Notamacropus eugenii: one gene and its partners. The protein of the gene in region 1 purifies or fractionates together with the protein of each later gene. This does not show direct contact. Links are inferred from orthologs where the notes say so. Each region holds a gene or a part of one and is shown in the gene's direction. Other genes may lie near its edges. The genes, in order: POLR2C, CTDP1, GPN1 and RPRD1B.

The links.
Region 2: the proteins of POLR2C (region 1) and CTDP1 purify together in Homo sapiens (affinity purification with mass spectrometry; 3 studies listed by BioGRID and IntAct, with this or other methods). This does not show direct contact. The link is inferred for Notamacropus eugenii from reciprocal best matches to the Homo sapiens genes POLR2C and CTDP1.
Region 3: the proteins of POLR2C (region 1) and GPN1 purify together in Homo sapiens (affinity purification with mass spectrometry; 3 studies listed by BioGRID and IntAct, with this or other methods). This does not show direct contact. The link is inferred for Notamacropus eugenii from reciprocal best matches to the Homo sapiens genes POLR2C and GPN1.
Region 4: the proteins of POLR2C (region 1) and RPRD1B purify together in Homo sapiens (affinity purification with mass spectrometry; 3 studies listed by BioGRID and IntAct, counting the BioPlex papers as one, with this or other methods). This does not show direct contact. The link is inferred for Notamacropus eugenii from reciprocal best matches to the Homo sapiens genes POLR2C and RPRD1B.

Annotation. Positions count from the first base shown.
Region 1 is NC_092872.1:475,144,142-475,151,933, forward strand, and holds the start of POLR2C (DNA-directed RNA polymerase II subunit RPB3), read left to right. Parts: upstream 1-4,774; 5' UTR 4,775-4,873; coding exon 4,874-4,959; intron 4,960-5,108; coding exon 5,109-5,158; intron 5,159-7,167; coding exon 7,168-7,236; intron 7,237-7,365; coding exon 7,366-7,418; intron 7,419-7,792. UniProt on the Homo sapiens protein: Core component of RNA polymerase II (Pol II), a DNA-dependent RNA polymerase which synthesizes mRNA precursors and many functional non-coding RNAs using the four ribonucleoside triphosphates as substrates.
Region 2 is NC_092875.1:201,295,047-201,302,155, reverse strand, and holds the start of CTDP1 (RNA polymerase II subunit A C-terminal domain phosphatase), read left to right. Parts: upstream 1-4,105; 5' UTR 4,106-4,236; coding exon 4,237-4,721; intron 4,722-7,109. UniProt on the Homo sapiens protein: Processively dephosphorylates 'Ser-2' and 'Ser-5' of the heptad repeats YSPTSPS in the C-terminal domain of the largest RNA polymerase II subunit. This promotes the activity of RNA polymerase II.
Region 3 is NC_092872.1:528,877,961-528,885,108, forward strand, and holds the start of GPN1 (GPN-loop GTPase 1), read left to right. Parts: upstream 1-4,133; 5' UTR 4,134-4,434; coding exon 4,435-4,554; intron 4,555-4,659; coding exon 4,660-4,753; intron 4,754-7,148. Other genes in the region: CCDC121 (coiled-coil domain-containing protein 121), read right to left, coding at 1,310-2,268, 3,048-3,142. UniProt on the Homo sapiens protein: Small GTPase required for proper nuclear import of RNA polymerase II (RNAPII). May act at an RNAP assembly step prior to nuclear import.
Region 4 is NC_092872.1:428,751,360-428,758,930, forward strand, and holds the start of RPRD1B (regulation of nuclear pre-mRNA domain-containing protein 1B), read left to right. Parts: upstream 1-4,567; 5' UTR 4,568-5,003; coding exon 5,004-5,154; intron 5,155-5,306; exon of another isoform or gene 5,307-5,348; intron 5,349-7,571. UniProt on the Homo sapiens protein: Interacts with phosphorylated C-terminal heptapeptide repeat domain (CTD) of the largest RNA polymerase II subunit POLR2A, and participates in dephosphorylation of the CTD by RPAP2. Transcriptional regulator which enhances expression of CCND1.

The DNA of each region.
Region 1 (7,792 bases):
TTCTCCTTTCCCTACTAACTTAATCTTTCTCCTTTTCCATTATCTCTTCTTCCTATCTTCTACATGTCAACATTCACCAAGGTTCTTTTTTGTCTTTGTACTCTGTCAGCAAACTCAGCTATTCCCACAGTTCCAACTATTAGTTGTGAGACTCCCAAATTGTTAACTCCAGATTTGTATTTTTAACTGCCAGCTGGACAACTGTACCTTTGTGCCTTAAGACACTTCAAAATCAAACTGTGACTTTAGACAAGTTACTTCTCTACTCTGGGCCTGTTTTGTCTATAAAATGAGGGGGTTGGAATAGATGATCTCTGAGGTCCCTTTCAACACTAAAAGCTCAATGAATCTGTGTATAAAACCAAATTCTCCCTTTTCTTTCGGCCTCTCAGCGTGGCATGGTGTATTGTGTTGAATTTGGAATCAAAAAGACTTGGGTTCCAGTCCCACGTCTTATGTTACTACCTGTGTATTTATGGGCAAATAACCTCATTTGGCCTCAGTTTTAACATCTGGAAAATGAAGGAGTTCGACTAGATGATGATCCCTAAGGTCCTTTTGAGTGCTAAACTTCGGATGCTCTTCTGGACTCTTTGTTATTGACAGCAGCATCTTCCCCATCCCTAAAGTTTAAAAGCATATTAAGACTTATGTTGTATGTTTCTTTATATATCTCCACAATATGGGCCTAGGCCCACCCCTGAGCCTTACACATACCATAAACAATAAGAAATATTTGTTGGTTAAAAAAAATAAAATTTAGGTTTGTCAAAAAGGAATTTATTATGGGAAAAGAGTTCTGTGTGCCTATGGGACATTTTAGAGCCCCCAATGGCCTTAAGGGACTGGCCAATACTAGAGGATCAAGTAAATGGTTGGTACTGCAGCTTCCAGTGTGGCCCTAGCGTCTTCATAGTTCCTAATTCCAATATTTATTAATCACCTATGTGCAGAGCACTCTGAAAAGGATAACCAGTTTGGTTATAAGGTATGGTCCCTTCCCACATACAGGTCACAGCCCATCAGGACAGTAAGATTCATATACATAATTTTAACACAAAATATTGAAGACTGAGTTCATTAAAAGTGCCAATTAGTGCCCCCAAAAAAGATTGCTAAGACTGGAAGAATCAGGGAAAGCTTCAAAGATGAGGTGGCATTTGAATTGTGCTGTAGCACCAGCTGGTCAAGGATCTCTGCAAGTGAATCCTAGAGAGAACTAGGAGGAAACTGTGAATGAAACTTAAAAGAGACAGATTTTTAGCTGAGTATAAGGACAAATGAGAATGAGAGCTGTTTAGGATTTGAACAGACTGCCATGAAAGATTCTAAGTCCTTCATCACCAATGATTTTACAGAAGAGGCTGGACAACAACTTAAGGGGCATATAGAGGGAATTCTACCAGGTAAGTATTAAATCAAAAAGCATTTATTAAGCACCTATGTCCTCTGCTCCCAGCTACGTATGGAGATGGTCCGTACCTTGGTCTTGCCATCACAAGTGTTCCATATCCATGTTCAAGAACTCCAAATAAAATTCCTTTATCTGATCATAATTTGTTGTCATCCTATCTCTGCCTTGCAACTCCAAACCCAATTTCCTTTGTCTTCACGGTGACCTCCAATTCCTCTATCCTTTAGTTCTTTCCCAACTCATGACCCCCGCACCTGCTATACTCCCTTGCTCTTGACAAACCAGTTCAACCCTATGCTGCCCTCTCAGATCCCTTGCACCTTTATCCTCTCATCCATTTACCCTACCAAGTCTCATCCTTGAATCATTCCCACCATCCACTGCCTGTGCTCCTATTCATAAGCTGCTGAACAAGGCTGGAGAAAATCATGAAAGGATTCTGACTGGGTCCACTACAGGTTAACGTTACATAATTTCAACTGGGCCCTTATAGCAGCAAGGCAATCCTTTAACACCACCCATTCACTATCCCACTCAATACAGTGGCTTTTCCAAACATTTTCACCCTTCCACAAACCTCACCTCCTAGCTTCCTTGGCTTCCTTGAAGCCTCACCAAAATCTCACCTTTTTTTTTTTTTTAAATAAGTCAAAAGTTTAATTCTGTTGCACAAAGTCAGTTGATTCTGGATTTACATATATAATAAGAAAACTTTAGATCACAATGGTTTGGGGCTCAATAAATGACTAGAAATAAAAAGTCATATTTCAGAGTAGTAAAATTTATAATTACTACAAATGTCTTGCAGCGCACTTATAATACAAAAGCAAGATCAAGTCATTTCTGTATTGTTTTGATAAAGAGTATGGGACAGAGGGTGTTTTGTTTCTAATGGGAGGGGAAATCTTTCCTTCTAAAGGATAATATCAACACAAAAGCTGCAAGAAAAAAGAAAAAAACATGGGAAAGAAACAAATGATATAAAAAGGCAAGATTTTAAAATCCTAATGTGGGATTATTAACCATAATAAAATGAAAAGATACATTAAAACCAGCAGTACATAATAGAACCCACAAGGCAGGCAAAAAAAATAAAAGATTCTAAGTTAAAGAGAAAAGGTTTGTTTTTAAAGAATGATGTCCTCCCAAACACCACAACACAGCAGTGCAAATGGTAACTGTGTGGTCCCCTTTCTGTTAATAAATTGAGCATTAAATCTCACCTTTTGCTCTTGCAAACTGAGTCTCAGAGAAGGGAAGTGTCCAAAGTCACACAGCTAGTAAGTAGCAGGCAGAATTTAAACCCCAATGGTCTTGCCATGTATAACTGGTCACCTCATCACTAATCAAAGCTTCTAGTTATCCCTATGACAGATCACTCCCAGTTCTAAATATCCAGCCTTAGTCTCTCTCTTGCCCTTATCAGTCCTTCTTAATGCCTTCTCTCTGAGAACACTCCCAATAAATCCTGCATCATCCCATACAATCCTGGCTTTTCCAAGCATTTTTATCCTTCCCTCGTCCTCTCATTTGAGAATTTTGCTTCACATGTCACTGAAAAAATTGAGACCATTCACAACGAACAATCCTTTCTTGTCTTCCTTATTTCACATCATTCAAATACCTTCTGCCACTATCTTCTCCTTCACCTGTTTCACATAAAGTGGTCCTTCTTGCCAAAGCAAACCCCAATACATATACAAGTGATTGCATTCTATCTTATGCTATCCTTCACACACATACCCCCTCCCCCCAATTACACTGTGAACTCTGAGAGCAGGGATTGTTTTCTGCCCTTCTTTGTTTTACTACATTTAGTATAATGCCTGGCACCTAAAAAGTACTTAAATGCTATTTGACTGATTTGTGCCAGGCTCAGTGCTCAGCAATAGAGATGTAAAGGTGAAATGAAAGGAGCTTATAATCTATTAGGGGAGACATGTATATGAGGGAGCTTCACGATGCCGTGGAAAGTGTTGGATTTGCAGGTTAAAAGATGGGTTCAAATCCTGACTGCCGCTTAGAACCTGTGTGATCTTCAGGGTTAGTACCCTTTGAGGGAAGCAAGAGATCTAAGAGGTAGAGGTGGTGAGTTCCAGGCCTAGAGGACATCTTGTAAAAAGGCAAAAGGAAAGAAGTGGGAATGTTAAATATGAAGTCCAAGGGCAGCCTAACTGGATCATTGAATGCAAGCATGAAGAAGAGTAATATATAATAAGCCTATAAAGGTAGGTTAAAGCCTGGTTGTAAAAGGCTTTAGACAATAACAGCTGGAACCTAAGCAAGTAGGATTCCTGATCCCACCTGCCCCCAAGATCTCAAAGTATAGAAGTGCTCTGAGTTTGTATTTTGATCCTAGATGTAATAGGGGTCACTGAAGTTTATTAAGCAGGAAAGGGATTTTGTCATATTTATGGTTTAGGATTGTTATTGTCGTTCATCATTCTCCAAGAGGATGATGTCTTGACTTGATTCAAGTGAGGCAGAGCTGTGCAAAGTCATCAGCCCCACTCTCTCCTCCAGTCATTGGGAGTGCGGGGACAAGGCATAGGTCAGGACTCCAGGGGATGGCCCCAGAAGCAGTGGGTTTTCCCAGGTTTGTCTGAGGCAACACCCATTCAGCGATCGAAGGTGAGGTAGTAGTAGTGGTGGTGATGGTGGTGGTAGTGGTACTAGGGAAGTTTGGAAGAGAGTGGATTTTGGGAGGGAAAAAGGATTAAAAGTTCTATTTTGGACCTGTTGAGTTTGAGAAGCCTACATTATATATATAAAATACATATTACAGACACATACACACATATACATATGTGTGTATGTATAGACATATACATATAAATGTGCACGTATGTATCTGTGTATGCACATGTGTGTATACGTGTATAATCGATATAGGATATCGATTTTGAAATGTCTGACTTCATGCTGATTAACTGATTGAACTCAGGGACTTCAGCGGTCCCTTCCAGTCTTCCCACGCCACGGGCCAGCTGCTCAGCAGGGGGGCTCCGGCTGGATGTCTGGGCCCGGGAGCGGTAACTGGGATGTGTGAGAAGTGATGAGGTCACCAGCCATCTGAAAGCGAAGCAGCGCGGCGTCAAGGCCATTCGCGTCCCAGTTCTGACTGCTCCTTACCAGCTGTGTGACCTTGCGCACTTCCCCTCTCTGTGACTCAGTTTCCCTGTCTATGAAAGGAGGCAGTCGGACTGCGCGCGTAAAATCCCTTGCTCGATCGAAGACCTCCGTGGCGGGGTTGAGTTCTCCTCCCACTTCCATCCCGTCTGCGCCTTCTGTAGTTCCTCCTCCTAGGCCGAGGGGGCACTGTGGGCTCCAGGGGGAGCGAGGGAAGGGAGGGGCGGCGCCTCTCTCCGGCGTCCGGTGACGTCACGGCGGCGCGCGGGTGGTCGGGTGCACGCAGAGCCGAGGGCCGAGCGTGGAGGCCGCGGGCCGTTCTCGGTCGCGATGCCTTACGCCAACCAGCCCACGGTGCGGATCACCGAGCTCACGGACGAGAACGTCAAGTTCATCATCGAGAACACGGACCTGGCGTAAGGAGCTCGCCGCCCGGGGCGCCCGGAGAGTCCCGGGAGAGCGCTCTGGGGAAGGGGCCGGGGCGGGGACGCCCCGGGGGGGCGGGGACCGGGGAGGAGCGGGCTGGGGCCCCCTCTGATTCGCCTCTGGTCCCTCCTCCCCGCAGGGTGGCCAATTCCATCCGCAGGGTCTTCATCGCCGAGGTGCCCATCATAGGTAAGCCTGGCTGCCGTGCCCCCTGGCAGCCCTGGGTGGGCGCCGCCTTCGCCCTTCTCCCGCTTTGCAGCTGGCTAAACGGAGGCGCAGGGAGGGGACTTGGAGGCGGTGTGGAAGCCGGGGCGCGGGCGGCTCCTCTTATTCACAGACTGACCTGTCCCTGGCCCTCCTCCTCCCAGCTGCCCCCTGCTCCCACCGGGGTCCCGTTTCGATGCTACCTGCGCCGTGATATCGGGTTCTTCTGCCCTCCTCAGAGTCCTTACAGCCTTTTCCTCACACTCTTGAGTAAAACAGCAGCCCCCCCTTGGTTGTCTCCACCCCCTTTTCGGTCTCAGGCTCCTGGAGGGCGGGGTCTGTTGGAGGATTCATCTCACAGCGTGACGCCGGCTGCTTATGGTGGGTGAAGTCAGATAGCGTACGTGCGGTGGGTGCCCGGTAACCCTAAAGTCGCCGTCCAGCTGTCAGTTAACTGTTATTAGGAGCTTTTGAAGTTACCAGGGCAAGCCTTGGAAGAGGGAGATGAGGATACTATACAAATAACCAGTCCAGATTGCAATACAGTTGGGAGCTGTCAAAACAGCAAGGGGGAGAGATTTCGGTGGGAGGCGTTCTGTAGTGACTGGAGGTATCAAAAAAAGCTTTATCAAGCTCAGAGTCTCTCAGACTGTTTTTATTCCTTTGTCTACGCTATGCCTAATCAGACGCATTGAAACAATTCATTGAACGTTGGGCTCTGACTAGGCACTGTGGTATACCTTCTCATCCCCCCGAAAGTGTAAAACACAGCCAGTATCTCAAGTACAAACTAGTTGGAGAAAGACTAGGGGGGGGGTGTGTGTGTGTGTGTGTGTGTGTGTGTGTGTGTGTGTGTGTGTGTGTGTGTGTGTGTGTGTGTGTGTGTGTGTGTGTGTAGCAACCGTATAGAGATGTTTTATTTCACTATTTGTTAAAAGGGTTTATTTGGGGTTTTTTCCACTTTGGAAGAAGAAGGTGAAAGAAGGAGAAAGAGGGATGGCAGTACAGTTACCAAAAAGAAAGAAAAAGGTTGTCTTTGAAACACTGTTTTGAAATACACAGAAAAGAACAAAAGGAAACCCAAGCAAGGAGAATAACCAGGAAAAAAGGAGAAAAGCAGGCTGTACATATTAGAAATTCACATGTCCTCTTTTTCTGTCCTACTTTGAATTAGAAACATTAATTTACATAGTATTAAGTGGAGAATGAAAAAAAATGAAATGGCGTTCAACCAGATGATTTTTCAGGTTCCTTCCCAGCTTTAGTGATCTGTGACTCTGCAATGGGATGATCTACAGTTTTCACCTCTCTTCCGTGCCAACCAAATCTTGTTCTTTCAAGGTCTAAATCAGCCTGAATCTCTCCATTAAGTATTCCCTAGTCACTGTAGTCCACAATGATAGCCTCTTCCTTAAACTTTTAACAGTTAATATACATATTTATTTAACAGTTAAGCTCATAGTGTTTAGCACAATGTCTGGCATATAATAGGCACTTAATACATGTTTCTTGACAGACTGACTTAAAAAGTGCCAAAATGTATAATGCAAGCATTAAATGAAATATGGTTTGGATAAAAGAGGTCATTATAGGTCTTAGTTTTCAGGAGGTCGTAATTGAGCTGGGTCTTATAATATGAACAAAATAAAATGAAGACATATAAGCATGGATTATGAAGGTCATAACGAGGAGACCACTCTAGATAGAGTAAAGGGAGTACATAGGAGAGGTTTCAATAAGGCTGGATGGTGCTCTGTGCATAGTATAGGGACAGTTTCTAGAGAGCTTTGAAACAAAGGCAGCCTCCAGTTCATTTCAGTGCTGCCCGACTTGCAAATGACAATATGGCCCATATTGGGATATAATGAGGAGCCTTTGGTCTTCCTCTCTGAAGGGCCAGCACAAAAGCCTGCTTGATTCCCTGCCTCTTCTATGTGAGCTCTGTGACTCAATGGCATTCCTGCCTCTTTTTTTTTTCTTTTTTGGCCTTTAAGCCATAGACTGGGTCCAAATCGATGCTAACTCTTCGGTGCTACATGATGAGTTCATTGCCCACAGACTAGGTAAGTGTTAAGTTCAGGAGGAATAGGGGAGAAGGGCTGCCATTTTGTGTCTTAGAAAGCTATCAGAAGAAACCACCTGACTTCTGAAAGGTTTTTGACCTACTTGAAACACTGCTTTGTGTTTTCTAGGATTAATCCCTCTTACAAGTGATGACATTGTAGACAAGCTGCAAAACTCCAGGGTAAGATTATATTCAGTTTGATTACTGGAGAGTATTTTCCTTGATAACATCCTTTCAAGCTGTTAGATTGTATTCATTTGTCCAGTTTTATATCATAGTAATTCTCAAATTTTTTCATTCCACTCTCCCCATTTCCCCTCAACCATCTCATGTTCTTTAATTCCAAATTGCTGTGAAAAAGTGAACAGTCATAACATCTTGCTCTGTTTATCCTTTAGGAAGCAATAAGTTTGTCTTTGTGGAGTTGGTTAGATATATGGGAAGACATCTGTATCTAATAATAAAGGAATAGGCAGGGGACTAAGTGAAGGATGAAGATGTAGGGGAAAACATTATTGACAATTTATGCTAATATAAATAAAATACTTTGCTAT
Region 2 (7,109 bases), on another chromosome or scaffold:
GGCCAGTCTACATTTTCTCCATCACTCTCTCCCCTCTAGACAATCAACAAAACAATATATCAAGTGCTGGTTTTTAAGGTTTACTGGTATCTAACAGGGTAAATGCTAACACTGAAAATTTAACAATTAGTTCTTCCAGCACATCCCATCCAGCCATCCACCAATATTTCTGGGTCTACCCAGCATGTTAATTTGTATTTACTTACATAAGTGGATGTTTTCCTCCAGTAGAAAGTGAGTTACTTGAGGGACTATTTCATTTTTCTCTCTATTTCTCCAGAACCCAGGACAGAGCCTGGCATATAGTAGGTGTTTAAAAAATGTCTTAATTGAATGTTCTGATTCACCCACTAGTTTATAGTGAATACATTACCTTCCTTGGCCCCTGTTTCTTCATGCCAGAAGAACCCAAATCTTACCTCTGTCCTTTGCTAACCATATCACCTCGGACAAGTCACAAATTTCCTGATGCTCAGTTTCCTCATTTATAAAATGGTGGACATTTGCCTGCATTTTAACCTTATTGCTTAGCCTTTTCTATTTTTGTCTTCCTGTTCAAGGATACACTTATAAGTAATTTAAGATTTGATGAAACTTGGCAGGCTCCAAGAAGGCATTAAGATATCATCAAGATTCAATTTATGGCTTATTTTCTATAAATTTGAGCAGATTTTAATTTGGGGTAGAGTCTAGGTTATAAAGATAATTAAGTGCCCTTTTCGAGTCTGACACTTCACAAAGCTACCAGTAATACTGGCTTTCCCTACTTTATTGAGGATGTGAAAACAATGGGCCTGATTTCCCCACCAGTTCCTAAATAATGGTTCACAGTCATAAAGGTTGAATCAACAAGCTTTTATGGTAGTGAGGACAGCAAGAATGTTTCTTCACTACGCACAGACACTTGGAGCAAGGTGTTGATTCCCAAGAACAAAGTACCAAAGGCCTCTTGGCTTTTAGGGCCTTATAGCTGACAATCACTAACTTTCCGGAAGATTTTTGGAGAAGAGGCTGTTTCATTGTTTCCCAAACCAAGGTATGCTGCTCTCTTGTAGAATGCTAAAATATCAATATTCTTTACTTGTGACTTAGTGTGGATGGTTCTCACTGACTGGAAGTGGGGAGGAAAAGGGGTTCTTAGCCTCTTTTTGTGTCATAGACCCTTTAGCAATCTTCTGAAACCTTTGGACTCTTCAGAATATTTTAAAATAAAATATATGGCATTATAAAGGAAGCCAATTACATTGAAATTTAGTTATTAATATACCTATACATGTGTGTTTATATACATACAAAAGCATATATGTAACCTACATAATGCACACATGTGTGTATCCATGTATATGTGTGTGTATGTATATGTGTGTGTGTAGACATACACATATGAAGTTCATTAACTGCAGTTTAAGAACTGCAGGGGGAGGATAAAACCAGAGCTGGTGGAAACAGTAAGTAAAAGAAATAGGTTTTTAAAGTTTATCAATTTCACGGAGCAAAAACCTTTGGTTGTAAAAATTTTGTTTACCAGGTAAAAATATTTCATGAGTCTGTCTGGTCCACAGTTGAGAAACAGTGTCTAATTCTGAGGTATCCTTAATACTTGCTTGAAGACACCCCATGCTCTCCATCTCCGTTCCACCTCACACCCCTTAACTTTTTGTTTCGGATTTGTCTCCCACGCCTTGACTTCAAGCTCCTTAGGGGCCAGGACCAGCAGTTGTTTCGGCTGGGTCAGGTGCGGCAGGGGGGACATTTTTAGAGCAAGAGGTGGGACTGGAACATCAAGGCCAGAAGAACCCTAGAAGGTTCCACAGCCCCAGGCAGCCCAGGGGTGGCTGTTGTGGCTGGCAGTTGGCAGTCTAGGGTGTCTCCTGCATTCTGCGATGAGAAGAGCCCCTTGCAAGAGGGCCCTCTGGAGGTACTGAAAACTCACTTTTGTTTGGGTGTCCCAAGAATGGGGAGTCGCTAAACTGGCATGCCTAAATGCCAGGCGGTAGGGGCTTTCTTTTCTAGCTTCTCCGCTAAAGGGAGAGGTGTGAGGGCAGGGGCAGCAAAGGGAGAACATTTTAAAACTGTGCCTTACATCTGTGGTGTCAGAATCCAATAAAACGGGTCCCCGCGGGGCCGCATGTTGATTGACAAAACCACAAACTGACCTTACTTATGCTGTATTTTGATTCGTTTGGTTAAACATTGACTTGTTACGTTTTAAGCTGGTTCGCGCCAACACTCGAGAGCTTTGCTGGGCACACGTGGCCGGCGAGTTTGACACCTCTGCCTTTCGTGATGCAGAGAGCAGACGCGTAGGGAAGGGCAGGGAAGGAGCCTTTGGCTGGCGACAATGTTTCAGGGGCCATGTGCCAGCAACACTGTAACAGGGGAAAGCTTGTTCTGCAGCACTTTTCTTTAAAGCAATACCCCCTCCCTCTAGATGTCCTGGCTTCTTCCCTCCCCCAGGCCAAGGGATAAAGGAATTCTCACTAAGGTGCTACCTCTTACACCTAGCTGTTAGCCATTTGAACTAGACTGAGTGCAGAAAGTGCTTTCTAACTCGTGTTCTCATTTTAACTCAAAGAGAGAAATCACTAACAGTGATCTAACCGACACTACAGCGACTTAGTAAAGGATCTGGAGGGCCTGAGAATGCCTAAAACAGAAGGTTTGCCAAAAAACTCCACCCAGGCATTTTGCTCCGACCGGACGCGGCCAGGATGGACTTTAAGTTTTCAGGCTGATTGAGCATACAGAAGGCAGACTGTTTCCTTTGCGTTTTCGCCCTTAGCCCCCAGCACAGCGCCCTGGTTCCTAGCAGTTTTAATTCATTTCCCCCAACTGAAATTGGACATTTGGTTGTCTTTAGGCCCTCCCCCGTGCTTCTGAACTCAGTAGGAGGCTGCTTCCCATTATTTTGTGATAAGGGTGGATCCACGAACAGAAGGAGTCGCCAATGGTCTAAAACAGAAGGGGTAAGAGTGTAAATAATTCCTGAAACTATGGTACAACCTTTTTGGCCGAGGAAGGAGAGGTTTAAGTGTCTAGGCAATAGCCCCATTAGAATCAGGGTTGAGTGAAGTTCCCTAGCAAGGTCCTAAGTTGGGGACAAGTAAAATGGCACATACAACATGATATTCCTCCCAACGCAAACCTGAAGTTTTAAAGTCCATTTCTGGTTTAACTCCCAGGCAGCTTTCGATAAGAGATCAAGAATAACAAGGGACCGTATATGCTTTTACAATGTCTTTCCGTGGGAGGGCTTTCCACAAATTTTCCAGTGTATTTGAATACGCAAGCGCAAAGGACTCTCCTTGCTCCGCTTTTGTAGGGAGGTCCCGTTCCCCCACGAGACTACAAGGCCCAGCATGCAACTGCGAGAAGGAGACTCAACAAGGATCTGTAGTCCGCCAGCCCGGCTTCCACAGACACCACTGGGGGACAGTTGCATGCTGGGATTCGTAGTCCTCATGCGCTCAGACATGAAGCGGATAACCACGAGGGTTTTGGTACAACCGCTTCCGCTGTTTTGTGCCCGGTGAGGGTTATTTCTCGGACGTTTCCGGTACCAGTTGCTCACGCGGACTCCCTCTCCCCAGGGTCTCGGGACTCCGTGGCCCTCCCTCCCGTGTGCGTGTGAGCGTACGTGTGTTTACACGCAGGCCGCCCGCCCACAGACAAACACGCGGTCTGAGGGAAGCACGTGAGAAGCCGCCCCTTTGACCACGCCCTCTCCCCTCCATGAGATCATTACGTTCTCCAGGAAGTCGTCATAGACCGGGGGAACTGGCGGCGAGGTGACTAGCCGAGCAGAGGGCGGGAAGAGCTGAAATAACCACCTCCGCCCCTGCCCCACATCCGGGACGCTGGGATTTCCGCGTTACTGTGGCTTTAAATGGAAGCCGGGCCCTGAATACGCAAACGCGTACGACTTTGCCTTTCCTCTCCGTGTTCCATCCTCCCTCCCCCCCAACCCCCTCCTAAAGGAACAGTTACTACTTTTTTCCTCACACCTTTCTAACCTCTCCTTCCACTCCGCCTCCCTCCCCTTGAAGTCGCTGTTTTCCTCTCCCCCTTTGGGGGAGGGCTAGCCTTCCTCCGTTCGCTTCCCGGTCTCGAGCCGGCGGCAAGCGCGTTGCCATAGCGACCCGCCCCGCGCGCCGTGCTGCCCCCGGCCCCCGGGCACTAGAGGCGGCGGCGCTGGAGCAGGGGAGAGGGCCCGGCGGACGCACGGCCCGGAGGGGGATGGAGGCGCGGGCGGACCCCAGCGGCGGCGTCGGAGACTCTGCAGCTGCCCCCACCGCCAAGGGGCCAGCCCCGGCCCGCTCTGCCGAGGGCCCCGCGGCGCTGGCGGCGGCCGTGACGGAGATCCGCTGCCCGGGCCCCAGGCCGCTGAGGCTGCTGGAGTGGAAGGTGGCGGCCGGCACAGCGGTGCAGATCGGCACGGTGCTGGCTGTGTGTCTCCCCATCGTGCCTCCCGCCGGCGGCGAGGCGGGCGGGCTGCCGGCTTGCAGTGCGCGCCGGAGAGCCGGGGAAGGAGAGGGGAAAGGGGGCGGCGGCGGCGAGGGCAGCCCCCACCCGTGCGGGAACCAGCGCGGGGAGCCCTCGCCTTGCCCGGAGGCCGGCGGCTGCGGCCGGACCCAGCGGGCGGCGGAGCGCAGGGTGAAGTCGGAGCGGGCCGGAGTGGTGCTGGAGCTGTGTGCGCAGCGGGGACAGGTGGTCCCCCCGGGGTAAGCGGCCGCGGGGGTTACTCCGCTCCCTCGGTTTCCCCCTCCCCCGACCTTTTCACCCCTCCCTCCCCCCCATAGGGGCCGGCTCAGGGACTCTCCCCTCCCCACCCGTAAGCCTCAGGCATCGCTGGGCACCGGGCCGACCTGCCGAGGAGGAGGAAGAAGACGGAGGGAGCTGGCTTGTGCCCCAGCCCAAGGGTTTTCGTTCTTTTTTCCTGGAGGGCGGAGGCGGAGAAACTATTCAAAACCGAGAACTTCCGTCGCCTCTAAGTAGACTGTCCTGGGACCGTCCTGCTCGCCCCTGTCCTTCTGCTCCTCCTCCTGCCTTCCCCCCCTCCCCCGACCCCAGATACCTGGCGGGGGGAGGGGGCTCGGCGCCTGGAGCATTATAGTATACCCCCTTACCGACCCGAGAGCGTGCGAGGAGGAGGAGGCAGGTGCGAGTTCCCAGCGCTCTCCTGCATCTCAGCTTCTCTCTTCCTCGCTCTTTCCCCGCCCCACCCGCTGCCCTACAGGGGGGCTTAAAGGGGAAAATAATGTGATTAAAATAAGGCTTCTCCTCTCAGGAATAGCTACAGGGTTCTTTTTGGCGGTGAGGTCTCTGAGGCACACCTCTGACAGAGATGCCTTAAGTTATCAATTGACATTTCTTTAGGGAATGAAAAGCTCTTTCACCTTGAAATATGGATTATTTGGTCTACTCCCATCCTACTTTCTGCAACTTTGGACTCCTCTCCTTTAAATCGCTGCTTACTAGCTGGACAAACAAAAGGTTTTTTTTAAACCAAATCTGATTTTATTTTCTTCTTTAACAAGTCTTTTTTTCTTATGTAGCCAGAAAGCTGTGGTTGTTGTTATTTTTGCAGTGCAAAAAATTTGGGGGGAGTTGGAGTCAGTCTCTAAGAAAACCAAACATTTATTCCACTTGCTTTTTTAAAATTTTGTTTGACTTTAAGATTAAAACAGGAAATGATGATGCTGAAGTAAACACGTATATAATGTATACATCTGTTTAAATATATACACATATGTATACATGTCTACATCTGAACTATAGCTGGGTATTGTTTGAATATACTAACTTGTTCAGATTGATCTGGTATTTGGTGTTGTCTGTCTCTTTTTTTTTTCCTGCGCTCTAATCTTGTGAAACTAAGTGATAAAAATATGATATAATTGTGCATCATAGCTAAGAAGAACGTATGAGACTGAGCTCTCTAGAGTACAAAATTACAGCAAGCTTTTGAATCTAGCCAAACTTCTACCCTGTCTCAGTACTTAGTTTGTTTCAAACTCTGTGATCATATACTTGACCAAAATGAGTCATTGGGTCATCATAAGATAATTAAAGGTGAAAAAAATAGTCATTTCACTTAACTGGTAGACTCCACTGCAGAAATGTCTACTTTTTTTTCTAACATATTGTAGATTACTTTCATCAATTTCTTGAACTGTGGTTATTTTTTGCTGTTCAGTGGCTCTAAGGAAAATTGGCCTGTAATTAATTTCATTCCCCGGGTTTAAAGTATATTATGTTATTTATTTTGTGGTGGGAGGAGTGGTCAGTTTTTTATATAGTACACTTATTTGCAATTGGTCAAAATATCATTAATTAACCTTTTTACAAGATCTTAGAGGAAGCATGGTGTGGTGGGTAGAAAGCTATCTTGAGTGTCAATCAGAACTGTGTTCAAATTCCAGCTCTGACATTTGCTGGCTGTGTGGTCATTTTGTTCTCCTCCTTCCGCCCTAGCCAATTAACCTCAATATGCTAGACAGCCCTCTAATTCTACAAATTACAGATCTGTAGCTGATTTGTTTTGGTAGAGAGATTTCTTTCACTTTCAGTTCCCTACACTAAAGAAATTACAACCCAAGATAACTTAGGTTTAGCTTAAAGGTTGCTTACATAGTGTTTGTTGTTATTGTTCCTTATATGTGTGTAATAATAGGGCATCATAGATCTAGACCTGGAAGGGAGCTCAAAGTCTAGTCCCTTCTTTTTACAGATGAGGAAACTTTTGACCCAAGAAAGTTAAGTGACTTGCCCAAGATCATACAACTAAGGACATGTAAGAGAAGAGGTTTCAACATCAGATAACAGTGCTTTTTACATTACACCACGCTGTCTGTGTTGACACTTCTTTTTTCTGCCATTTAACAGGAATGTCAGTTTTTTTGGTATATTTTTATTCTTTCAATTCAAGATATGAATATTAGATAAGACATTTCCAACCTTTGTGGAGTTCAGAATAATGGAGGATAGAATATGCACAAATAAATATAATATACAGTGAGTATTTGCTATTACAAGAATGGCAAATCAATGTGAAGATCCAAAGTTTTTACATTTTAGTTGGGCTAAATAGGCAAAGAGGTGAAAGGGAG
Region 3 (7,148 bases), about 54 Mb from region 1:
ATCTAGATGAGGACCTCAGTACACATAAATGTATATATGACATGTGAAAATATAATTCTATACCAATATATTGGGCTAGAATTTATCTTATAATAACCTTGGAATTCATAAGGGTGAAGAGTTAAGGATGATTTGGATGGTGATTTTCTCTTTCAAAAGTTGTTCCAGAGAAATCTGAACTGAAATAAGCTTCTTTTTCTTTCAAATGTGCCTGTAGAATAGGTATCCTGAATCATTCCATTGACTAGGGTGTTACAATGATGATTATTTCTTCCACTGCAAAGCTGTTAAAAAAACCTAATCCTTAACATATCTTTTTGCCTTCTACCATTCTCAGTAAAATTCAGAAGTAAACATAAGCTACTTAGTATCAAATCAAAACAATGCTACCAGGAAATAGGGAATTCTATTAGCTCACTTTCTTGTCCTTCACTACTACAGGGCCCCCTTGACATATTTACAAGAGTACTTCATGCTTCATTGGAACACCAAGACAAACCAAAAGCAAAAAGGCAATTACTAGGTCTTTGGCACACAACTTTAACATCTCTTTCCCCTACCCTTAAGTCTCAGATTTGTCAATAGCAGTTGGACTGGGGCCTGTACCTCCCTGTTTATGTTGCAATGGTTCAAACAAATGGGTGCAAAGACCAAGGCAACAAAAAGGGACCTACCTGTATTTGCTAATCTGAGATTTTGGAATGTCTGTGTTACCACTGTAGAGTCAATGTAAATGGTTGCCATCAAAAAGAGTTTATCCTTTGAAGAAAGTTAACATTGAGTCCCAAAGAAAGCAAACATTCATAGCTTGACTTGCTCCTTTTCCGGTCCACTATAGAGAATATCTGGTAAGCAGCCAGGGAAGCCAGTCAGTTAAATGTTGAGATGCTGGAAGATACTGAGATGGATTCTGTTTTATCATCGGAGGATGAAGTGAGTGAGGGAGGTATAGATAATTCCAGGAATTAAATGTTAAACAGCACTACAGAAGAAGTGCTAAGTGAACTTAACTCTCCTTTTAATACTTTCAATAAGCTATTATCTTAAGTCATTTTCCATAGATTTTTTTTTACCAGAAATAGGTTTTTAAATATGAACTTTTCTACTGTTGTGTTTCATCCCTCTTTCTACAGTCTGACTGATAGCCTTCTATTTCATATTCATTTCATTTTTTTTCCATTTAAAATTACAAGATCCTAGAGGCAGAGATCACTTAAGTTACTTTGTACAGCAACTAACAAAATCTGCTTAGGTGGATGTATAATAAATATTCTCACTAATTAGGATGAATTCATCCTTGGTTTGGTACCTGGGAGAGGGGCCAGCGTGGTCTTTGAACTGCTTTGTCCTTTCTGACAGGGAACAGCTCTTAGTAGTTGACGCCGTCTCCCTTCTTTGATGCTCTCCAGGCAACACTGCTCTAGCTGTAGTTGCTGCTTCTGCTTTCGAAGCCTGGTCCGCTGGGCCTCTAGCTGCTGGGCTTCTTGAATAAGCCGTACCATTTCCTTATGCAATTGTTCATTCTCATTTTGCAGTTGCCAGGTGAAATCAAGGATAGATTTGTCTGCTGCATGTTCCAGGATATGGTTGTGCTTTCCCATCATACTTTTCCCCAGCAAAAGCTCTACATCAGATAGCTGATGCTTCAGTGCTCTCCACTCTTTAACCAGATCACCTTGTACACTATGAAGGTGTGCTTTGGCCTCCTTCTGGACTCTTGGTTTTTCCATTTGCAGTGATTTGATAAGCTCCTCCTGGGTAATCTTTATTGTCCTCCTAGCATTTAATGCTTGAATCTTCTTTTTCAGTTGGGCTTGGGTCTCTTCTTGTCGCAGCAGCTCTTCCCGGAGTGATGATATATGGGACTCATAACTGGAGACCAGCTCCTGCCTTTGACATTGTATCTGCTCCAACTGTTGTGTCTGTTGATCCCATACCTTAATTGGTGCTACCTGTTTTTTCTTGGTTGGATCAGGTACATATCCCATTAGGACAGGGCTGTCACCTAAGAATGGTTGGATTTCAGCTTGCATGTGGCAATGATCATCTATGAGCTGCCTCCTCCGGGCTCGTGTTTGCATCAGTTCCCCATTCAGCTGGATCATTTTCTCCTCTACCTGTGCCTTTATTGCCAGCTCTTTCTGCACCCTTTTCTCCAACTCCTCCTGTGACTTTAAAAACTGCTGTAGCTTTTTGCTACCCATTAGCAAAGCAATATTACGATTCAGATTCAGATTCTGCCATATCATTCTGGGACCCCGAAAAAATCTGGGGGAAAAGCAGCCAGAAATATGTTATTTCTCCATTATACCTTTATGATTATTTGTGAGCTATTATTATTACCTTGATGTCACTTATCTTTCATGACACTCAGTGTGTCATCCTTCATTGGCTCAAGCCACCAACTCTTTCACCTCTCCTAAGCAACTCTCAAAAATTCAAAGGACAGTGTGAGCTGTTATGTTCAAAAGACATATGATTTCATTGTATGTTCTCCTCTTATTGACAGACTGCAACTCCTAATGTGCCTTTATAAATCACTTTATGAATTTCTGTGGTCAAAAAATTTATTATTCAGTAGCCAAACTCTAAGTAATGAAGCTTTTTTGATCTTAGCTAGGCTGGTCCTAGGGTGACAATATTTCCCAACTAATCTACTCTTTCCAGCTTGGTAGGATCTATCACAGCTTTTGACCTCTGGGTATAGACAAAATCCAAGGAGGTAGGGCAGATTACAGAAGAGGTGTACAAAAGCATGCCACTGTTTTGTAACAATAGATTCAGTAATGGCAAAACTCTGGATGTTCTGAGGCTGACAAGGAAATATAAAGTCAAAAGGAGTTTTTAAAACCTTATTTGCATTTCTGTCCCCAGATCCTAGTACAGTGCCTGGTAGGTGCTTACTAAATGTTTGTTGATTGACTGGAAGATTCCCTTTCTCTGGAAGTCCTCTAGCAAAGGCTATTTCGGGGCATGTTGTGGAGGGGGTTTTTGTCTCACATGTGGGTTGCTCAAGAAAGTCTCTGAGGTTCCTTCCAACTCCTTACCTGAGGTAGATGCTCTGTCCAGTGCAGTACAAGAACTGGGAGAAAAGTTGGGAGAATCTTTTTTTTTTTTTTTTTAGCTGTTTATCCTTTGCCATCTCTTGCTAAGCTAACCCTTTCCCCCCATGGGTCTCTGCTTTGGAGAGGTTTTCCTCCTTTGCTCCCTCCGACCCTTTTTGAGCTCACCTGTTACGAGTACTCAAATGTTGCTGATCCCAAAACTGCTGGACACGGTGCACAAGGGTAGCGGGGGTGGAGGCCAGGGAAGGAACTCCACGCGAAAGATTGAGTCTCATGAGTTCCTCCCTGTGGAAGCTTCTGGGAACCCAACAAGTGTCGACGTACAACCCTACAGGAAGATTGACGTCCGGTGACCACTTCTGAGTTTTCCCAGGGCCAGAGGACCGAGAGCTCTTGTCCTGGTCTGGGGTCTTGGGCACCGTACAGAGGACACAGTAGTCGCCTTTGCCCACTTCTTTCCTGCCTGTGGCAGGCTGAGCCTCGGAGCTCAGGGTGTCGTCGCTCTCTTCCCGAACACTTTCTTCTCTGGAGGACTTAGAATTCTCGTCCACTTCCCAGTCCTTCCCCAGTTGAGTCGAACCCAACTTTTCGCCATTTTTGTCGCCCGCTCTCCTCACCACTTCTTCACCTGTGCTTTCTTTTTGCACCCGCTCTGGAATATCCTTGATCCATTCGAGCCTCAGAACGTCTTCAAAACCAGTCCTGGGACCAGCGACGGAACCCAGGTGATTGGATTCTTCTTCATATTCCACCCCAGTCTCAGGTCCCTGTGCAGGCTCCGCCCCCTCTTCTGCCCCCGCCTCTGATTCTACTCTACTCTCAAATCCCAGTGCAGGCCCTGCCTTTGGCCCCGCCCTTGGCCCCGCCTTCGATTCCGCCCTACTCTCAAATCCCAGTGCAGGCCCTGCCTTTGGCCCCGCCCTTGGACCCGCCTTCGATTCCGCCCTACTCTCAAATCTCAGTGCAAGCCCTGCCTTTGGCCCCGCCCTTGTCCCCGCCTTCGATTCCGCCCTATTCTCAATTTCCACGGCAGGTTCCGCCCTTGGCCCCGCCTTCGATTCAGCCCTACTCTCAAATCTCAGTGCAGGCCTTGCCTTTGGCCCCGCCCTTGGCCCCGCCTTCGATTCCGCCCTACTCTCAATTTCCGCGGCAGGTTCCGCCCTTGGCCCCGCCTTCGATTCCGCCCTACTCTCAATTTCCACGGCAGGTTCCGCCCTTGACCCTGCCTCCTCCTCCTGGGTCCCTGGCCCTGTCTCCAGATCCGACCTAAACTCTGATTCCGCTCCGTTTTGCCCGCTTGCCGTCGGACTGCTACTCAGTCTCATTTCCAGCATCGCTCTGCGCAGGCGCTGCCGTACACACTGGCAAGATGGATTCTTCTGCGGGAGCGGCGGCTCCGGAGGCAGAGGGCCCCCAGCCCCGGCCTCGGCCTCCAGTGTGTCTCCTGGTGCTGGGGATGGCGGGGTCTGGGAAGACGACATTCGTACAGGTGAGGTGGGGAGAGGCTCTTGCTGGAGGGGCCCTGGCCGCGGCTGCCCGGGGTAGCGGTGGTGGGATGGCGGGAGCACCTTCACCTTCGCCTTGTCTCCCGCAGAGGCTCACGGGATACCTTCACGGCCTGGGCTCGCCGCCCTACGTGATCAACCTGGACCCTGCGGTGCACGAGGTCCCCTTCCCAGCCAACATCGGTGAGTCGGCGCGAGCGTGGGCCCGACGTGTGGAGGAGCCCTAAGAAGTTGCGGGTCGAGCCGGGCCTGTGGGCTCTTCGACCACTCTTACACCGCCCCAGCGTCCCAACCTGGCGCGGTCCCTCCCGGCCTCCCCCTCTTCCTCTTGTCCGGCTGCCCTGTTCGCTCAGCTGGGGATGTTATGACGTCATTTACTAAGATTTGGGAAACTGAAGGGACAAAAGGTCCGCTTTGCAACAGTCAGTCAGTAAGCATTTAAGTGCCGTCTATGTGACAGGCACCGTGCCAAGTGCTGGGGATACAAGAAAAAAAGGTAAAAGACATTTAAAAAACGATCAATGCTCCTACTCAAGAGGAGCCCACTGTCTAAGAGGGCAGACTTGAAAAAAAGCTATGTATAAATAAGCTATGTATGGGATAAATTTGGAACTGAGGAAGACATTTAACTCAACAGTAGACACTGAGATGTTCTAAGAGGCTCAGACTGTTCTTAGAGTCCCAAGAAACCTGGGGTACTTTATAGCACCTTGAGGGCAATTACTGCTTTATTTTATGAGTGGAAATGCTTAATGCATATTGATTGATCCAGTCTTACAATCTACCAATGGATCAACATCTGACAACTAAGTGACATTCAGTCTACGTGGAAAGCCTAAGTGCCAACTCTAACATCCCTGAGGAGTTCAATCATGAAGGCTGCCTGTGATCCTGAATCTGCCCCTGTCCATAGGACCTCCTTCCATTTTTGCGCAGTTCACTTGTTCCCATTTAAAGAACTTCATCTTTTTCTAGACAATGAAAAAATTGGAAAAGAAATTCTCCTTTAAATCTGTGACCCTAAGTTATTGACTCCTAGTGTCACTTAGGCTTCTTGTATTTTAGGGCTTCCTAATTCCCAAGCCATAGTTTTATTCTATTTCTCACCTTTTTGGGTAACCTTGAATTATGTTGTCTTTGGTCATGAGATGGCTATAAATTGGAAGGCAATCATTAAGCCAAGATACTAATTTTAGTTTGCAACAGTGTTGAAGACTTGGACTGAAAAGTTATTTCATTCTCTGTGTCCAAAATTTATTTGTTAAGTAAATGATTTGCTAGGGGAGAAGCAAAGTGGAGTAAGTAGATGGAGACCTCCCTTGACTAGGAAGATCTAAATTCAGTGCTCCTGGCAACTCTAATTAGTTGCCAAGGTGCCACCCTTCATTTATACAACTCATTTCCTCATCTGAGAATTCTCTATACCAATGACATCACAGTTCCAATCCCTTTTTCTATTCTTATTCCTGCGCCCTTGGGATACAGAACCAGAATATTCTCTGTCCTTAAGGAATTTAGGTTCTATTGTCTTGTTCTGTGTTCTCCATTCCATTCCATAGCCCCTTCCAGTTTATTCCTTGACATCTATTGAGTCTTAGTGTCTTTTAAGCTATTTTCAGAGGCAGACTACTAAAATGAATCTACTGTTTCTTAAAAGAGTACTCCTCACGAAATAAGGCCCAAGTGAAAATGGGATCATAATTACTTGAAAATATACTTAATTGTACAAATTTATATGCATTTTAATTCAGAAAAACTTTTTAAGCTGGATCATGCCTTAAAGTTATTTTTTCAAGTACTTCTATAATAAATGCTTAGTGAAAGGTTCATTAATAAATTCTATTAATTCTGCTTAAAATGGCTCATACTGTATTGTAAGCTGCTCAGAGTTAACACCTTTTGAGAAGATCATTGATAGAGTGGAGTGTATCTGGAGAAGGGCAAACTGGCTGAGTTGGGGACTTTGGAGACTTTACTAAATGTGGGTCATTTAAAGAAAGTAGAGAGGTTTAGCTTGGAGAAGAGTATGTAAGGGGAAAACGATGTTATGTGGAAGAAATATCAGACCTTAGAAGTCAGTAACATAACAACTCAGATTTATTTGGTGTGTTAAAGTTTACATACAACTTTCCTTACAGAGACAACAGGGTATAGTGGATAAAGCAATGACTTGGAATCATGAAATCCTGGATTCAGATCCTGTCTCAGATAACTTTATAGTTGTCTGACCCAGGGCAGATCACTTAATAACTTCCCTGTGACCCAGTTCCTTCATCTGTAAAATGAGAGGATTGAACTTGATGGTCCTTAAAGCCCCTTCCAGTTCTAACTGTACGATCCTTTGAGCCCCTTGTACTGTGTTCATATTAAAAGTATTGTGTGTATTTTACAGATAAAGCTTAAAGAAATTCCTTCCCAGAGTTACAGCTAGGAAGTATCAGAACCTGGTTCAAACCCAGGTCTTTTTGACTTCAAGTGGAAGGTTTTTTCCATTATGTCATGCTGCCTTTCCACCACAGAGCAATGAGTGGAAGTTTCAAAAAAATAAATTTTCGACTTAACGTAATTCAATTTAAGT
Region 4 (7,571 bases), about 46 Mb from region 1:
TTCCTTCTTGACCTCTCTCTCTGTAGTTTCTGACCCTGCTGAATATCCACTCCTTCTGAACACTCTCTTGGCTCCCAGGATGCTGCTTTTTCCACTTTTTCCTCCCATCCTGACTACTTTTCAGTATCCTTCATCCATCTCTCCCCCTAAGCAGGGACACTGCTTCAAGACTCTGTCCTGGGCCCAATTCTATTCTCTCTATAGACTTTCTCCCTTAGTGATCTTATTGGCTACTATGGGTTCAGTTATCTTTCTGTAGATAGCCCCCAAATCTATATAGCCAATCCTAATCTTTCTTCTGAATTTCAATATTCCATAGCTAACTGGATATCTCTAACTTAATGTCCCATTTTAAATGCATCATGTCCAAAACTGAACTCATTATGTTTGCCCACCAAACTTCTCTCTCCTCTAAACTTTCGAATTTCTACTAAGGGCATTTCCATCTAGTTACAAACTTTGGAGTTATCCTCTCTCACCTTCTATATCCATTTAGATTCAAAGTCTTATTGGATATGATCTTCATAATATCTCTTGCCTCCACTCCATTCTCTTTTTTCTCCAATACCTGACCTCTACCCTAGTTTAGGTCTTCATTACATGCGGCCTAGACTATTATGGCAATTGGCATCCCTCCCTCCCCCAGTCTCCTCCCTCTTCAATTCATCTTTTACACAGCTATCACTACAATCTTATGAAGTACAGCTAAATCATATCTAGCTATCCTGCTCTTAGGATAAAGCACAAATTCATTGGCCCTGGACTCCAACGTACTCTTGTAGTCTTATTCATAGTACCCTCCTTCACACCTAGCCAAACGGAATTTGACATTCCCAGTCCTGCCTTAATATGTTGGCATAAAGTATCCACCCTTGAATATGCCATCTTCCCATTTCTGCTTCAGTTTTAAATTTATTTTGGTATCACTACCTACTTGAGGCCTTCTCTGATGCCGGCATACTTGTATTTTTTTCTTGCTCTTTCCTCAAATCACCTTATATTTACACCTGTATACATTATAATTCCATTCCCCAATCCTTGAGGTCAATTGCTCTTTCGTTTGTGTCTTTTTATCCCTTTACCTTGTAGGTAATAGGCACTGAGTGAATGCTTGTTAATTTCAATCAACCAGCATTTATTAAGTGCTCCCTATGTGCTAAGAACTGGGGATACGAAGAAAAGGGGAAAAACTGTTTAAATGGGAGGTAATCCCAAAGGGAAGGTACTAGTAATGTGGAGGGGGGAGAGAAAATGGGAACCTGGGAGGCAGAATAGGCCAAAAGAAGGGAGAGTTAGGTCTTAAAGAAGGATTTGAGCTGAGTCTTGAAGAAATTGAGGTGGTGAGGGGAAAGCATTCTAGGGATGGAGCCAGACAATGAAAAGGCAGAAAGTCTGAAGATGGTGTGTCCTGGGAATGGAACAGCAATAAGACTAGTGTCTAGTATTATAGAGTACTGGAGGAGAGTAAAGAGTAAGAAGACTGGAAAGGCAGGAAGGAGTCAAATTGTGAAGGGCTTTAAAAGTCAAAAAGAGGATGTTATATTTGATCTTGGAAATAAGAGGGAGCCACTAGAATTTAGAGGAAAGAGGTGACACGGTCAGGACTGCCCTTTAGGATGACCATTTTGGTAGATGAGCGGAGGACAGACTGGAGTGGGGAGAGATTTGAGGCAGGAAGACCAACCAGAGGGCTATTGCAACAGGTGATGGCAGCCTTCTCCAGGGTATTAGCCGTGGGAATGGAGGAAAGAGGGCATAAAAGAGAGACGCTGTGAAGGTAGAAATAATAAGACTTGGCAATAGATTGGGTCTGTGGAAGAAAGGTGAAAAAGGACTTGAGGATGACACAGAGGCTGTGAGCCTAGGTCACTGGGAGGAAGGAGGTTAGGGTTTGAGGAGGTAGACATAATGAATCTGGGATGTCTACAGAACATCCAGCTCAAGATATTGAAGAGGGGGTTAGTGATGCAAGATGAGTTCAGAAGACGATCTGCATTTAAGAATCATCTACATAGAGAAAAGCTTATGAGATCACCAAGTGAGATGTACTGGGAGAAGAGGCTCCAGAACAGTATTGGAAAACACTAAGAATTAGATGGTATGACCTCTATGAACAATCAATGATGCAGGTTGAAAAAGAGGTAAGGTAGGTAAGAAGAACAGGAGGGAAAACCTAGAGAGGAGAAAGTATTCAAGAGAAGTGAAGGATCAATAATGTTAAAGTTGCAGAGAGATTAAGAAGGATGGGAACTGAGAAAAGGACACTAGATTTGGCCATGAAGATCATCATTGATCATCTCTGAACAGACTTAAATTAAGCACTGACATATTCATGGCCCAAACTATGTACAAGAAACAAAGCCATGTAAAATGTAATCAGTGATATATGTTTGGTGAACTGAAATGGCTCACGAAAGTCTTTGGCGCCAAAAATAATACTAATTTGGTGAGCATCCCCTAAGTGCACAAATGACAGCTCTTTCATCTATATAACAAAACAGTGTCATATATTTAAAAGGAGAAATAGATTTGAGAAATAGATTAGATAAGTTTGATCTGAAAACTAAATTAAAGTGCTCTGGTGGGGTGATGGAGCTAGAAGACTCATATTGCCCTAAGTCAGAGCCACAGGAAAAAGATTCATGGAAAAGGTAAGATTTGAGATGGACCCCAAAGTTAGAAAAGAGAGAACTCAGATATTCAGCAATCACAAGATTTCTTAATTTTATGAATGAGAAAAAAAGACAACTAAAGAGATTAAATGAAATGGTTAATATAAGTGGCAGAGTAGATAGATGGCACAGTGGATAGAATGGATAGACTCCTCTTCCTAAGTTCAAATCCAGCCTTAGACACTCACTAGTTGTGTGATCATGGGCAAGTCACTGAACCTGGTTTGCCTGTTTCCTCATCTGTAAAATGAGATGGAGAAGGAAATGACAAACCACTCCAGGATCTTTACCAAGAAAACCCCAAGTAAGCTCACTGAACAGTAAAACTCAACTGAAAAAGTACTAAACAAATAAACCAAATATATAAAGTGGCAAAGATTCAAAACCACAATCCTCTGCCTCTTAATCCAGTATTCTTTTGAGAGTGTATAGCACTCTCAACAAAAACAAAACTCTCTAGACCTATAGTGTTGCCGTGGGAGCACTAGCATATGAACAAAGGTACAGAAATGGGAATGACTCTGCTCTAGGTAGGGAGACCAATCTGTCTGATAGAGGAGGGGGAAGGTGCAAGTGGTTAATGCTGAGTGGGGCAGGGTAGGATGCAAACAAGTGTGCTACCTGGAAAAGAAGGCTGTGTTTAGAGTATAACAAACACCTGGGCTCTTTATCTTTTCAGCTGTGTGACTCAGGGTTAAGTTGTTTTCCTTTTCTGAGCCTCAGCTTCCCTATCTGTAAATTGGGGAAAAATAATACCTGCACAACCTTCCTAACTGGGATGTTTGGAGGATCAAACAAACAAAAAAAATAAAGCTGCTGTGAGTAAAGTGTTTTGTAAACTATGAATTGCTATATAATTGTCAGTTATGACGACAGTGAAAGGGATATTACTGGAAGATTTGAGGTGGCAGAGAAGGTATGGGAATGAGGATAATACATTTTAATTATGGCATGTGGTGCCGCTCAGGGCCGCAGCGGTTAGAGTTCTGGGCCTGGAGTAGGAATGACCTGAGTTCAAATCCAGCCTCAGACACTCACTAACTGTGTGACCCTGGGCAGGTCACTTAACCTCAGCCTCTGAAAATGGGGATGATAATAGTAGCACCTACCTCCCAGGGGGCTGGTGAGGACCAAATAAGATACTTGCAAAGCGCTTTGCAAACCTACTTGCAAAACTCTTATGACTAAGATTTACTTTCCTTATAGAAGCGCAGTGCAAGTATTACTGTTTCCCATCTTATATATTTCACTTCTAAGTTGTGGCTCTTCTTAGAAGTAAAATCCTCAAGGGCAGGCAGCTTTCTGTCTTTCGCCTCCTTTGGTATCGGAGCTTAATAAATGTTTACTGCTTCCGAGTCCCATCCTCAGCTACTTAAACAGAGAAGTAGGCCCGGAAGACAAGCGGTCGTTTGTAAAACACTCTAAGGAGAGAAATACCCCAAAGAAAGGTTCCGAACAAAGGATTACTACCTTCCTTCAGGCTAGGCGGAGATTAGGGAACCGCTCACATTCGCACCCCCTTTACCCCAGCTGAGCGAGGCTAAGACGAGCGCCGGCTCCCTACACATGCAAGAGTTGGGGGCTGGGATCCAGGTCTCGGGATTCCCAGAGCATAGGGCCGGGCAGAAGAATAAACATCTCTATCCTAGGCCTCCCCTTCCGGGCCTTCTAGCCTCTTTTTCTCCACTTCATCGGGCCCTCCTTCTCCTTTCGGAGAGAAAACTCCTTCCTCCGCTCCGCACACTTTCCCTTACCTGCTTCTCTTCTAGCCTTTCCCACCACTCGCGCTCCTTCCCGGAAGTGACGTTTACGCCGGCGCGCCGAAGCACGAGAAAGGTCCCGGGACGCCGGGAAAAAAGGACCAAGTTAGACTCAGTGAGTTCGCGCGCCGAGAAAGCGGTACCCGCCCCTTCCGGGAACTCCGCAGGGGGCCCGGCCTAAACTTCCCCCTGCTACCTCCTTCTCTATCTTCTCTTTTGGGCTGCCTTCTGGGAGGGTATATGAGAGTCTACCGAAGGTAAAGCTCAGCGGTCGTCCGCCCGCCCCCGCCCTGCTTCCCTCTTGCTTCCGCGTCGGCCCTTGCCCTTTGCCCTCCCTCGCGGTGGGGTGAGAGGTCAGGTGGCCATCTTGTGGCGGCGGCGGAGGCGGCTGTTACCGAGGAGACTCGGCCGCCCCTCAGGCCTCGGCCCCTCAGGCTCTTGGCCTGGCGTGACAAGTCAGTCTGCTGCTCGGTCTCGGACTAGGTATCGTCCCGGGCCTCGTGTCCATCGGCTGCCGCCTCCCGCTCCACGCCGCCCGGAAGCCCTCCAGTCCTCCTTCCCTCCCGCCACCATGTCCTCTTTCTCCGAGTCCGCGCTCGAAAAGAAACTCTCCGAGCTGAGTAACTCCCAGCAGAGCGTCCAGACGTTGTCTCTGTGGCTGATCCACCACCGCAAACACGCGGGGCCCATCGTCTCAGTGTGGCACCGCGAGCTCCGCAAAGGTGCGTATCCCGCCGGGGCTCCCCGGCCCCCGCCTCCCGGGCTGTGTATCGAGCCCCGCAGCACCCCGTGTGCTTCTGTCCCGCCCCCTGCCACCCCCGCCGCGATCCGAACCCGTGTATTAAGCGCCGATTGTGTCAGGCGCAGTGCTTACCCCCAAACACGTCTGTCCGTGCGGTTCTCCCATCCTCCAATCTCATCTTCCCTGACCCCCGCCTCCCCCATCTCCGTAGGAGCTGGGAGCAGGCATTTCAAACCTCCTATGGCTCAGGCACTGCGTTAAGGGGTAGGGGTAACCTTTCAGCGCACCCCCCTTCTCTCTGTCCAGTTCCCCATTCCGCCATGTGCTTCTGTCCGCCCCTCCCCGACTTGTCAGCCCAACATGTAAGCCACAGGTCTGTGCCTGCCCCTGCCCTAGCGCTCAGGAGTCCCAGAAAGGTAAAAGGGAGCCCTCATGCTGGAGGAGCTCGCAGACCTCTCCTACCTCCGTCCTCAGCCCCCCTCCCCGCTCTGCTTCTGTCTGGACAGATGATGGATCGAACACCTTTTCTGTGCCGAGTACTGTAACCCTAAAGGCCCTTCCTTTTCTGTCTGTCCAGCTCCCCAGTCCTCCATGCATCCCTCTCTGTGTGTTTGTGTCAGGCCCCTAGCTCTCCATGTTCCCCCACTTTACCCTCCCCTCGTCTGAATAGCTCCCGGCTCTCCGTGCATCCCTCCTGACCAGCCCCCAAACCACCAGGTCCCTACCCATCTCTCTCCAGGCCACCGCTACCTCTGTTTTTCCATCCCAACCTTCCAGACTAGCTCCCCACTCTCCGTGCACACTCCTGATGACTATTTAGCATCCAGCCCACCTCCACAACCGCCTCGGTCATTCACCACTCCACACAGCCCTCCCCACCTGAGTCCCCAACACTTCACCCAGGCACTCCTCCCCACGACTGCTTCCATGTCCTTTTTTCTTTCAAGTCCTCCTCTTTCTGCAAGTTTTTCCTTTGGGCAGGTCACCGAGTTACCACTGCAAGGTTGCTGAAGAAGCTCAAATGCCTCCTTTGGGAGGGAGGAATCTCATTCTGATCTATCTGCCCTGTTTTTCTTTCTCTACTCTTTGAATATCCAGGATCTTTTTGCTGGGTTGAGGAAGGAGCCTACGGGCATATGTTCTCCTTGAGGTACTACTGGAAGTAGCTAAAGTTAAGTCTTTGGTGCCTCAGACTTTTTGGTTAGAGTTGAGCTAGTTCACATCAGCAAAAATTTTATAGCTACTGCTATGTATAAGTTACTGTGCCTTCCCCAAAATTTGAACCATCAGTAGGAGTTCTGTGATAGCTTTTGATGCTGCTTCTCCGTGTTCTTCTCCACCTTTTATTAGCTAGAAGTGTATGTTTCAGAGGTCTTCAAATTTGTTTCCTTGTAAAATACCTCTGAAGTACTTAAAATTACCTTGGCCAAAATTAGTGCATTTTCATTGCCAGAAATATTTCTGTTTACCTAGTGCACACTCCTATTTTTCTCTTTCAACCTCATTTTTTTTTTTTTGGCTTATGAAGTCATCTCTATACTGTAGTTTGCCTAAACTGCTTTTGAAGAAACAATTTCTTTAAAAAGGAAATATGGTATTGCCTATAAAGTGGGTAACTTAAAGGTTGTTCTCAGGACCTCAAAAGAAAGTCAGTAAGTTTTTGTCTGTGTCCAACAATCAAATGAACTGATTGGGAGAGTGGGGTTAAAGGGTGGAAGAGAGAGGAAGAGAATGGTCTTAAATGATCAACCTTTGCCTTTTGAAGAGAGCTTTAATTTTTAATGTCACAATGGATAAGAGCTTTGTAGTGTGCTGTCTGTATATCTGGGGCTTTTAAAAAATCGCCTGCTGTTCCAGTAATTCCCAAGGTCTATATTTTCCTCTGACAAGACTTCTCTTTATACAGATGACTCCTTGCTAGGGGCACAGAATGTTTCCTGAGGAAGGGAAGAGAGTTTCATCCTAAACACATCGTAATAGCTTGGCTAGAAGGATTATGAAAGTTATTGTCATTGTTAGCAGTTAAACTCTTTAATTTCTTATCCATAGTCTTCTTACGTAACTCATAATTTCAAGTGCTGGAAAAGTTTCAATTCATGGGTTAGAACTTGAAGGGAACTCAGTGTTCACTTGCTCATAACACCCTGATTTTGCAAAGGAGGTCCAGAGAGGTTGAATGACTTGTCCAAGATTGCAAAGGCAGTACATGACAGAATTGAAATTTGAACCCAGATCTTATTCCAAATGCAACCCGTTCCACTTTGCCATGGTGCTGTTCTGCAGTGTCCAAATTGTTTTCTTGTTATTTGGATTCTGGGTTTTTGAACATAAGGATATGAAATATATAAACCTTTATTTAAGGAGAATTGGCTATCTTGTTATTTTTTAATTCATTAT